Linked DNA regions of Callithrix jacchus. The protein of the gene in region 1 interacts with the protein of each later gene in a pairwise test. Links are inferred from orthologs where the notes say so. Each region holds a gene or a part of one and is shown on either strand. Other genes may lie near its edges.

Region 1 (3,749 bases):
AATATGGAAAAAAGATCTCCACCTCTCAGAGGCGAGTCTCCCTCATAGAGGAAAAGAGGGAATAATAACAGGCACGAAAATACATGGACATTTTGTCTGTTGGAAGGTGTTAAATGCGACGACTAAAAAGAAAAATGAACCACCCAGACAGCAGAGTAAGGGGTGCCAAGAGCTGGGGCAGAGGTGGAAGAGGAGGAGTGAGCTGTGGTTTTAACTGAGGAGATCAGGGAGAGTCTTCTTGAGGAACAGGCACCTGAGCAGGTGTGGAGGGAGGGAGGGAGGGAGCCCTGTGGATATCTGGGCAGAGAGTGTCCAAGGTGGAAGAACCCATGCGAAGGCCCTGGGGCTGTCTGGCAGATTTTGGGAGCAGAGCAAAGGTGTCGGGAGGGATAGGAGGCTTGGAGCAGAGAGGGCTTGGGTGCCACTGCAAAACCTTAGTTTTTACTGGAAGCGATATGGGAGCTGTTGGGAATAGATGTTGGAAATAGATGCTCGGTGCCGCAAAGAAAAATCAGCCCTGAGACAAAGGATCTTTCAGCAACACAATTTTGGCTTCCGGAACTGCAGGAGGGGTGCTCTTGCCACCATCTTGCCACAAGAGTGGCACGGACGGCGTTGGGCAGAGTGAGGTGATTGCTTTTGGTTTTAACAGGGTCACTCAGGCCACTGAGTTGGGAGGTGATTACAGCGGGTCAAGGACTATTGCGGGAGTAGAGGGAGGGACGGCGGGACAGTGGCGGTGATGAGAAGTGGGCAGATTCTGGGTCATATCTGAAGGTTGAGCCAGCAGGAATTGTAACTGAGAGGATGTAGGGTGTGAACCAGAGTCCATGATGCCTGCCGTGTGCTTGGAGTCATCCAGAAAGGATGCAGGTGCTATTAGCTGGAATGAGAAGGCTGGAGGAGAAACCAGATTTGTGGGGAATGAAAATCAAAGTTTCAATTTGGACGTCTTGAATTCCCACTTGGCTGTCAGGAGCCTAGTTCACTTAATTTTTGTCTCCCTGCTATAAAAATTCTAATTCTTCTCAAGACCGTATGGGCTGCAGAGGAGACGCGCTGGCTAAATGACCGAAAGGGCAACATTTCAAGAACCCTGCTGGTGACTTGGGTCAGTCCCTGGAAACTGAAGACCCTGTCCTCAAAGCCTTTTAAATGCTGAGCTAATGACTGAATGCCTTCCTTGTTCAACACCACAGCTGCTGCAGGGTCCAGCTAGGAATTGGAGAACCAAGTAGAAAATTCCAGGGCACAGGCTGCTGTGGGCTCCAGAGTAGAAGACTGTGCTCCCACAGCCTGTCAGAGCGAGACGGGCTGCAGGCTGCCATGTTTGCCGTTCCAGCCCTGGTGTGGCTCTGTTCGAACACCTGGGCCCTGCGGAGGGGGCGGCGGGGAGAGTGGGACAGAGACTCCAGCACAGGCCAGGAGGAGGCCCCCTGCTGGCACTGGCCCAGCTCCACCACCTCCAAGGAAGATATTCTTGCTGAACTCCAATCCCCCTCCCCAGGGAGCATCCTGATCTCAGAGACACGAGGCTATGGCTTTCAGGTAAGGGACCTGCACCAGAACTTGCCTATGGGTTTACGCTACCTTTTTTTTTTTTTTTTACGCTCCCCACCAAGACAGAATCTTGCTCTGTTGCCCAGAGCTGGAGTGCAATGGCGTGATCTTGGCTCATTGCAACCTCTGCCTCCAGGGTTCAAGTGATTCTCCTGCCTCAGCCTCCCAAGTAGCTAGGATTACAGGCACATGCCACCACACCCAGCTAATTTTCGTATTTTTAGTAGAGACGGGGTTTCACCATGTTGGCCAGGCTGGTCTCGAACTCCTGACCTTGTGATCTGCCCACCTCGGCCTCCCAAAGTGTTGGGATTACAGGCATGAGCCACTGCGCGCAGCCTAGGCTGCCTTTAGATCAAGGAAAAAAACGTTTTTTTTTTTTTTTTTTTTTTGAGGTGGATTCTCACTCTCTTGCCCAGGCTGGAGTGGAGTGGTACAATTTTCGCTCACTGAAATCTTCATCTCCCAGGTTCAAGTGATTTTCCTGCCTCAGCCTCCCAAGTAACTGGGATTACAGGTGTAAACCACCATGCCCAGCTATTTTTGTATTTTTTTTTTAAAGATGGCGTTTCACCATGTTGGCCAGGATAGTCTTGAACTCCTGACCTCAGGTGATCCACCCACCTCAGCCTCCCAAAGTGCTAGGATTATAGGCGTGAGCCACCGCGCCTGGCTTATTTTTGTATTTTTAGTAGAGACAGGGTTTCACCATGTTGGCCAAGCTGGTCTGGAACTGCTGACCTCAAGTGATCTGCCTACCTTGACCTCCCAAAGTGCTAGGATTACAGGTGTGAGCCACCACGCCCGGCCAAGGAAAGAAACATCCACAGGGTGAAGTATTGATGCCTACCTTTAGGTCTTGCAAACATGTCTGAAGATTATTCAATTTAGATATTTCCAGTGTCTTCTATATTCTCAGAAGCTCCTGCCAACTGCCCGGATCTGACTCACAGAGCACCAGGGATTTTGTTTGTTTGTGTTATATTTTTCGTAGAGATGGGATCTTGCTGTGTTGCTCAGGCTTGTCTTGAACTCCTGGGCTCAAGTGATCCTCTATTTTCAGCCTCCTGGAATTCTGGGATTACAGGCCGAGGTCAGGAGTTCCAGACCAGCCTGGCCAATATGGTGAAACTCCATCTCTACTAAAAATACAAAAATTAGCTGGGCATGGTGGTGCGTGCCTATAATCCTAGCTACTTAGGAGGCTGAGGCAGGAGAATTGCTTGAACCTGGGACCATTTTTAAGACCATTTTTCTAATGATGAGTATCTATGCAGCCAGGGCATCAGGGCATCAGAACCCAGCACCACCAGTTCTTGGCAAGGGACTTGAGCAAGTCACTGGATCAGCCTGCACCTCAGTTTCCCCCTTTGTGAAAAGGGCTAACAGTAGGTGGTGATGAGGTGAAGCAGGTAAAGTGCACGGCCCAGAACCTTGCTGGCAGGAAGTGCCCAGTGTTCACATTCCGACTGTCTCATGGGCGAATCTCTGTCCAGTGGTTCAGAATTAATTGAAACTCCTTTAATCTGAAATATTTTACCCTGATTTGCCTATGAGATTATTTTATACACAATTCCTGGCACAGAGTAGATGCTGTATGATATTTATTTTTTTTGGGGGGGGGGAAGAATTTTATTCTTGATGCCCAGGCTGGAGTGCAGTGGTGCAATCTCATCTCACTGCAACCTCTGCCTCCCAGGTTCATGCGCTTCTCCTGCCTCAGCCTCCGAAGTAGCTGGAACTATAGACATGTGCCACCACACCTGGCTAATTTTTGTATTTTTAGTAGAGACAGGGTTTTGCCTTGTTGGTCAAGCTGGTCTTGAACTCCTGTCCCTCAGGTGATCTGCCTGCCTCTGCCTCCCAAAGTGCTGGGATTACAGGCATGAACCACTGTGCCTGGCTGTGCTCTATATTTATTTAGGGGATTTTTTTTTTTTTTTTTTTTGAGATGAAGTCTCACTCTTGTTGCCCAGGCTAGAGTGCAATGGCGCAATCTTGGCTCACTGCAACCTCCCAAGTTTAAGCAATTCTCCCGCTTCAGCTTTCTGAGTAGCTGGGATTACAGGTGCCTGCCACCACACCTGGCTAATTTTTGTATTTTTAGTAGAGATGGGGTTTCACTATGTTGTCCAGGCTGGTCTCAAACTCCTGACCTCAGGCTATCTGCCTGACTTGGCCTCTCAAAG
Region 2 (3,749 bases), on another chromosome or scaffold:
CTCACCTCATTATGCTCCGCAGAGTGATACCTCCTCAAGTTCTTCAATGTTCTTTATGGCAATAACATAATACTTTTTAGTTTGAAACAGAAAGATTACCCTCAGGAGTTTGAGACCAGCCTGGCCAACATGGTGAAAACCCGTCTATACTAAAAATACAACAAATTAGCCAGGCATGGTGGCACATGCCTGTAGTCCCAGCTACTTGGGAGGCTGAGGCAGGAGAATTGCTTAAGCCAGGGACAGAGATTGCAGTGAGCTGAGATCATGCTACTGCATTCCAGCCTGGATGACAGAGTGAGACTCCATCTCAAAAGAAAGATAAACAGACATAGGACCCTGATAACTGGAATTTTTTTTTTTTAAGTGAGAATACCTTTCTCCTAGAAATTGCCCAGTAATGGTTTGGCCAAGAAGGCTTGGAATTTATTAAGAGCTAGAGTCATGCCCCATGTTTTGTTTGTCAAACTCACTTTTTTAGTTGGAGACCAGAAAAATGCCACCACAGAGTACTTTCAGCTAAAATGAATGAAGTTAGGTTTTGTCTTTCCAAAGACTTGCCACAAGCCAAGAAGCTCTGGGCCTGGCATTGGACAGCAGTTCTTTCCTTGTGTGTGAAATGATGGCTGAGCTGTTTGCAGAAGAGAAAATCAACACAGACCAGCAATTTTTACTGCCCTACTCTGTTCCTTAGAGCATGTTAGCACGATTTCAAAACACACTGGGGCCACAGGTCTCTTGATAGTCAAAGAAACCCCTACAGCTTTGTGCTGGGTGCTGTGGCAATTTGGGCAAAGATGGGAAGTGTTTTGCCCTCCTAAGCTGAGCCTCTGGTAGTGACCACTCCCAGCACCCAAAGCTGCTTAGTGACCTCTTATGGGCTGCTTGCTCCCTCCTCTGTTCTTACCATTCCAGATTCCATGATACGAGGTTGAAGTTTGTGTCTCATAGACTCCATGACATCAGTGAAGCTTGTGTCTTATAGATGCAATATCCAATTTTGGAAATAGCTTCTTCTTGACTCACTTCAAGAAGTTAGACTAAACTTCAGAGAAACTGATATGGAAGGAGCCCCAGATGGGGATGCAGGGTGACCCAGGTCCTTAACAACTTGACAGTGACTTTGAGAGAGTCTTTTCAAACTTCCCATGCTACTTTGCTGTGAAGTGCGAGTCGAGGCCCCATTAATGTTTCTCCTGCCTCTGCCATTGCTGTTGGCAGCCTACAAGGTAGGTGAAGGGTCATAATAGCATCTGGCCCTTCCAATACACAATGCCATTATTGTGTATGTGCTGCCTGTGGGGTCACTGGCTGGTGCTTTCAAAGGAGGACTCCGCCTAAAGGAGGCCTGCGGGAGCCTGCTACCACCACTAGGCTTTCTGTAATTGGATCTGCATAGGGGCTTCAGGGAGTGTAGGATGAAAACATCTATTTCCATGTACTCCCAGCCAACATGCTGAACAGTCTGTACTCTTGCTGAGAAAGACCCATGAAGGACTGAAAATTCTTTTTCTAGGTGAACTGAGAAGACAGTCACATGATTTAGGTAAGTCTCACTAGAAAACCTCTTGTCTACACAGCCCTCTGAGGAAACTCATTTCTACTAAGGCAGAGGTAAGTATCCTGAACACAGTGTAGCATTATTTGAGACAGATGAGTGTGAGTTTCAGTAACTGAATGTCTATTGAGAGGCAACTTTGACATATCTTACGGAATGCAAACTTTTGTACATAATAGCATGATCAGAAAGTTCAGCGCTCCAAACCTATAAGGAGTATTAAAAATGCTTCACGGCCAGGTGCAGTGGCTCATGCCTGTAACCCTAGCACTTTGGGAGCCCCATTCAGGTGAATCACAAGGTGAGGGGTTCAAGACCAGCCTAGCCAAGGTGGTGAAACCCCACCTCTACTAAAAATACAAAAATTAGCTGGGCGTTGTGGTGGGTGCCAGTAATCCCAGCTACTTGGGAGGCTCAGGCAGAAAATTGCTTGAACCTGGGAGGCAGGGGTTGCAGTGAGCTGAGATCATGCCACTACACTCCAGCCTGGGCGACAGAGTGAGACTCCGTCTCAAAATAAATAAATAAATAAATAAATAAATAAATAAATAAATAAAATAAAAAGCTTCACAATTGACTTTTTTTCCTTTTTCTTCTTATAATCAATGAATAGATATTGCTACATTACTATGAACTAAAGCCCATAGTTTACATTAGGATTTACTTTTTGTATTTTACATTCATTGAGTTTTGGCAAATGCATAATGTCATGTGTCCACGCTTACAGTATCATCGAAATAGTTTCAGTGCACTTAAAAGTCTCTTGTGGGGGCCAGGCATGGTGGCACATGCCTGTAATTTCAGCACTTTGGGAGGCCAAGGCGGGCGGATCACCTGAGGTCAAAAGTTCGAAACCAGCTTGGTCAACGTGGTGAAACCCCAATTAAAAAAAAAAAATCTCTTGTGTTCCACCTGGTCATCCTTCCTGCCCTATTTGCCAGCCCTGACAACCACTGATGATTTTATGGTCTCCATATTTTCACCCAGCTTTTTCAGACTGGCTGAAATGCAGTTAAGTTTTCTCCCTGTTTGTTTGTGGCCTGATAGCTCATTACTTTTTGTCCCTGGATAATATTCCCCTGTATAGAGGTACTATGGTTTGTTTATCCATTTACCTATTGAAGAATGTCTTGGTTGTTAACAATTTTGGCAATTATGAATAAAGCTGCTACTGACATTCATGTACAGGTTCTCGTTTGGACATAAATTTTCGGATCACTTGGGTAAATGCCTAGAAGCATGATTGTTAGATCATGGTAAGACTGTGCTTAGCTTTGTAAGAACGGCCAAGCAATGTTTGAAAGTGGCCTAACCATTCATTCACCAGCAATGCATGAGAGTTTCTGTTGCTCCACATCCTCACCAGCATTTGCTGTTGTTGGTGTTTAGGATTTTAGCCATTCTGATATGTGTGTAGTGGTATCTCATGGTTGTTTTGATCTGCAGTTCCCTAATGACATATGATGTTAGCCTCTTTTCATATGCTTATTTACTCTCTGTGTATCTTCTTTGCTGAGGTGTCTATTCAGAGTTTTTGCCCATTTAAAAAATTGAATTTTCTTTTTGTTAAATTTTAAGGCTTCCTTCTATATTATGGATAACAGTCTTCACCAGTATGTGTTTTGCAAAGATTTTCTCCTAGTCTGTGGCTTGTCTTTTCACTGTCTTAACAGGATCTTTCACAGAACAGAAAGATATATTTTAAAAATATAATGAAGTTCATTTTGCCAATTTTTTCTTTTATGAATTATGCCTTTGGTGTTGTATCTAAAAAGTCATCAGCAAACCCAAGGTCATTCAGATTTTCTCCTATGTTATCTTCTGGATGTTTTATAGTTTTGAATTTTACATTTATGTCTGTGATCCACTTTGAGTTAATTTTTGTAAGAAGTGTAAGATCTGTGTCTGGATTCCTTTATTTGTATGTGGGTGTCCAGTTGTTCTAGGACCGTTTATTTAAAAGATTATCCTTTTTTTCCATTGGATTGTCTTTGCTCCTGTGTCAGTGATCAGTGGACTATATTTGAGTGAGTATATTTCTGGGCTCTCTAGTAGATTCTATTGATTTATTTGTGTATTCTTCTGACAATGCCACAATCTTGGTGACTGTAGCCTTGTAGTATATCTTTTTTGTTTTATTTTATTTTTTATTGCATTTTAGGTTTTGGGGCACATGTGAAGAACATGCAAG
Region 3 (3,749 bases), on another chromosome or scaffold:
TCTTATCGTCACTTTGCCATGTTCTCCAATTTTCTTTCATCACTAAGTTCTCTTGTCACCTCTCACTAGCCCTGTTTAGAAAGCTTTGCACCTGGCCACACTCGTCCTGTCCTTTAGACTGGGGCCTTCCTGTTCTCATCCCTTTCAAAACAAACTTACCTGAAAATATCTAATAATAAAGACATTTCAGGGTTAATTCAAGTCTTCACAGTTACTTCTTACTAGTAGGGTAGGGGACAGGTATTTGCATTTAAAATCTTAACTCTCATCCTGAAATGAAAACCTTTATTTGTATTCAATTGAATGGGGTGTTCCTATTCTATATTTAAATTTTCCTAAAATCCATTATAGCATGTGTCTTATCACACGTTTTCACAAGCCTTCCCCTGCACCTCTCTTCTGTGTAAAAACATGAAACCTACGGTTTACTAAGGAAGATCCTGGCTGCTAAAGAAACCAACTCAATCTTAATGTTTGGAGAACACTGGATTTGGAGTAAGATGATCTAGGTTCATGTCTCAATGAATCATCCATTTCAAGTGCAAGTAGATGGACAAATCCATGGACATATCCTTCATTCTCTCTAAGCCTGGGTTTTCTAATCTTCTGAAAGGAGCTATTAATAACATCTGACACACTTGCTAAGTGTATAGGGTATTTCTGAACCTCTAAAGTAATAATGAACATGGAGGTACTTACCAATGTTACATAGCCTTAGTGATCTTGGGCATCTGAGATTTCACTAAATTTCATTCCTTGTTCCATTTTCCCTTCCTTGGGTTAGAAAAAATACATTGACCCAGTCAATTCAGACAAGAATAAAAAATATAACTAAGAGTTTTCAGAATAATGAAAAGTTTCAGGTTAAAATGGCATGATCACTCTCTTCATGCAAACATGAGAGCTATGAAACACTTATTAGAACTAATATCCCAGGTTACTCTATTCATCTGTGAAGCTCAATTTGTCAAGAAACAGCATAATGGTTTTATAAAATCCAGAGGGAACCTGGGTGGAGGGATGTGGGTGAGCATTAAATTGATAGAATATTAAAGTAGAAAATGAGCGTTAAAGTGATGAAAGTAGAGTGCAAATAAAAGACTTTAAGAATAAAAAGTAGTCAACTCCATGTATTAGGAAGGACTTCTGTGGCTAAAATAAATCAAACACAAAATTCAAGTGCTTAAAACAGATCACTCAAGGTGTCAGTTGGAAAACATATATTCTTTCCTATCATTTCCTCTATGAAATGAAGAGAGAAATTTGTCATCAATGACTCTTGGAATTTGGTGGGAAAAGGAAGGAATTTGGAATCAGTCCCACTGAGTTTCGTTCCAGCTTCTCCACTTAGAAGCCATTCATTCCCTTCTCCCTGAAGGGAGGCAACACTGTCCCGCTCGCCTGACTGGCAGTTTTCTAAGAACCCATCATAGGTGACGGGAAAGCCAGGTACAAGCTGGAGTCACCACAGAAACCAGGGACTGAGCAGTGAAATCCAGCTCCTCCCAGCTGGAAGACAGTCGGGTGAACGGAAAGGAAATCAGTTCTCTTTACCCCACGTTTCTTTTTCATACCACTTCAAATTTGAGTAAGAGGAAAGAGGGCCAAGGGGATTTAAAGAACCTGGCTGACAACTCCCCAGCGGTCTACAGTACCTTTGTGATCGCCTTGTTTCATTAAGTCAACAAGTATTTCGGGCTGCAGCTGGGTGCTGGGCCCTGGGGTAGCAGTGGGACTACAAAGAAGAAAATCCCAGAATACAGGGGACACTGGACACATAACTGCGGGATAGCGAGGTCGCGCTGGCGCGGGGCGAGGTTGGAGGCAGCCGAGGAGCCCCCGCAAGGGCCGCGTCCGCCGCCGCCTCGCCCTTCCCCCACCCCGACAGCCGCGAGTTTGCCCGCGACGTCCCCATGGCAACCAGCGGCGGCGCGGCGCGCTGGGAGGGAGAGCCCCAACAGCCTAGAGGGCCGCGCGGCTGGAGGGCCTAGGCGGCGGGAGCTCGGCGGCGGGTGGCGGGCCCCCTTGGGGCGGGCCTGGCCGGGCGGGAGGTGACCTACGCGGTCCTGCGCCCCGGGCCTCAGACCTCTCGGGCAAGCGCGGCGCGGTGCGGTGCAGCGCAGGTAATGGCTCTGAGCTTCCCCGGCCCTTCCTCGCCCTTGAACCTCACCCTCTCCCTTCAGCCGGGCTGGCGCGGGATATCCAGCGGGACAGGGGGGCCCCGAAAAGGGCGGCTGCTCTGCAGGAGGCTGGGCTTGAACTGAGCGCGGGTCCCGTCGGGGCGCGTGGCGGGGAAACAGAGGCTGGGAGGGGAGGCCCGCCCTTGGAAATGCAGAGCAGAGCTGCGCCCTAGGTTAGAAGGCCTGGGCTCTAGTCGTGTGGCCTTGGGCAAGTCACTTAACTTGTCTGTGCCTCAGTTTCCCTGACGTTTAAGTGAGGGATTTGAGAACCTACAAAACCATTTATTCGTCTGCTCGTTCTGGTCAAGTTTTTTTTTCACCATCCCTGCTCGTCTCCAGTCTGCCCCGCACACAATTCCTGGGTCTCGCTTAAACTCTTCGATTTGGAAGTGTTGTGAGTCTGAATCTTCCTCCTCTTTCTACTCCCTTGAATCCTTTTTAATTAACTTTTATTCAGTGATTCAGAGGAGTTTTCAATACTTTCTCCAATTATCGTCATAGAATATTTTTTAGCTAAAATTTTGTTACCGTGAAAAACTTTTTTAAAAATTTTAACTTTAGGCAAGTACTAACGTCCCTAAAATTAGCCGGGTGTGGTGGCGTGCGCCTTTAATTCCAGCTATTCAGGAGGCTGAGGCAGGAGAATTGCTTGAACCCAGGAGGAGGTTGCAGTGAGCAAAGATTACGCCACTGCACTCCAGCCTGGGCGACAGAGCGAGACACGTTCTCAAAAAACAAACAAACAAAAAACTCCACAAAACAAATTCAAGTTTCTATATTTTTTAGGACCAAGAGCTACTACTATACAGAAAAACTCATACTAAGTGGTTTTTGCAGTAGGAACATTTTTATGTTTTATAGGTTAATGAATATAAACATTTTAGGAATTTGTGTCATTTTCCTCCAACAGGTTAAAAATCAAGAAATATAAACCAGATGTAGCAGTTTCTTGACATGGAGAACCAAGCCCATAATACAATGGGGTAAGTGCTGGGAAATTTCTGTTTAAATAAGTGCATACTTAACTATGCCAAAAACTTCCTGAGAACACATGAATTTTGGAATTTACTGTTAATAGAAGGATATGCCAATTGTTTTCGGTGAGGCGGATGAGAGGAAATACCAAGTGACTGTAATCAAGGATTATAATGTGAGTCTTTCTGATTTTGACACTACAGATCTGCACTCAAAAATCAGTTTTCCAACTTTTAGTGACTGTCTGATGTCTAAGGGTGATGGATACCAAGGCAGGCCTTATGTGCTCTTATATTACCACAATGCAGCCTCTTCGCCAGCTTGTTCCTTTTTTTGCTGCATTGAGTATCTCAAGTTTCCCTCTATTCTTGTCCATTAAGGCTGAACTCAACACTTAAACATAGCCTCAGAATAGATCCAACTCCATAAAAACATCAACAAGAAGTAAATATTTTACCAAAAGTTTCACGAAGAGATGAGGAATAAAATTTGTATAGCATTTGTCATTGTAGAAAATCAAATTCCTGTTTACAAATATCTGTCCTAACTGTTTACCTGCTACCAGCATCACAGTTTTCTTTTCCTGTTATTTCA

What was found.
Region 2: the proteins of KIFC3 (region 1) and CLIP4 interact in binary tests that used the Homo sapiens proteins (3 or more experiments, as listed by UniProt). The two-hybrid records come from large-scale screens. The link is inferred for Callithrix jacchus from reciprocal best matches to the Homo sapiens genes KIFC3 and CLIP4.
Region 3: the proteins of KIFC3 (region 1) and DEUP1 interact in binary tests that used the Homo sapiens proteins (3 or more experiments, as listed by UniProt). The two-hybrid records come from large-scale screens. The link is inferred for Callithrix jacchus from reciprocal best matches to the Homo sapiens genes KIFC3 and DEUP1.

Annotation. Positions count from the first base shown.
Region 1 is NC_133521.1:15,731,158-15,734,906, reverse strand, and holds the start of KIFC3 (kinesin-like protein KIFC3), read left to right. Parts: upstream 1-1,301; 5' UTR 1,302-1,326; coding exon 1,327-1,548; intron 1,549-3,749. UniProt on the Homo sapiens protein: Minus-end microtubule-dependent motor protein. Involved in apically targeted transport. Required for zonula adherens maintenance.
Region 2 is NC_133515.1:85,967,746-85,971,494, reverse strand, and holds the start of CLIP4 (CAP-Gly domain-containing linker protein 4), read left to right. Parts: upstream 1-1,329; 5' UTR 1,330-1,546; intron 1,547-3,749.
Region 3 is NC_133511.1:46,998,949-47,002,697, reverse strand, and holds the start of DEUP1 (deuterosome assembly protein 1), read left to right. Parts: upstream 1-1,324; 5' UTR 1,325-1,449; intron 1,450-1,655; exon of another isoform or gene 1,656-1,867; intron 1,868-1,922; exon of another isoform or gene 1,923-2,123; intron 2,124-3,090; 5' UTR 3,091-3,134; coding exon 3,135-3,163; intron 3,164-3,749. UniProt on the Homo sapiens protein: Key structural component of the deuterosome, a structure that promotes de novo centriole amplification in multiciliated cells.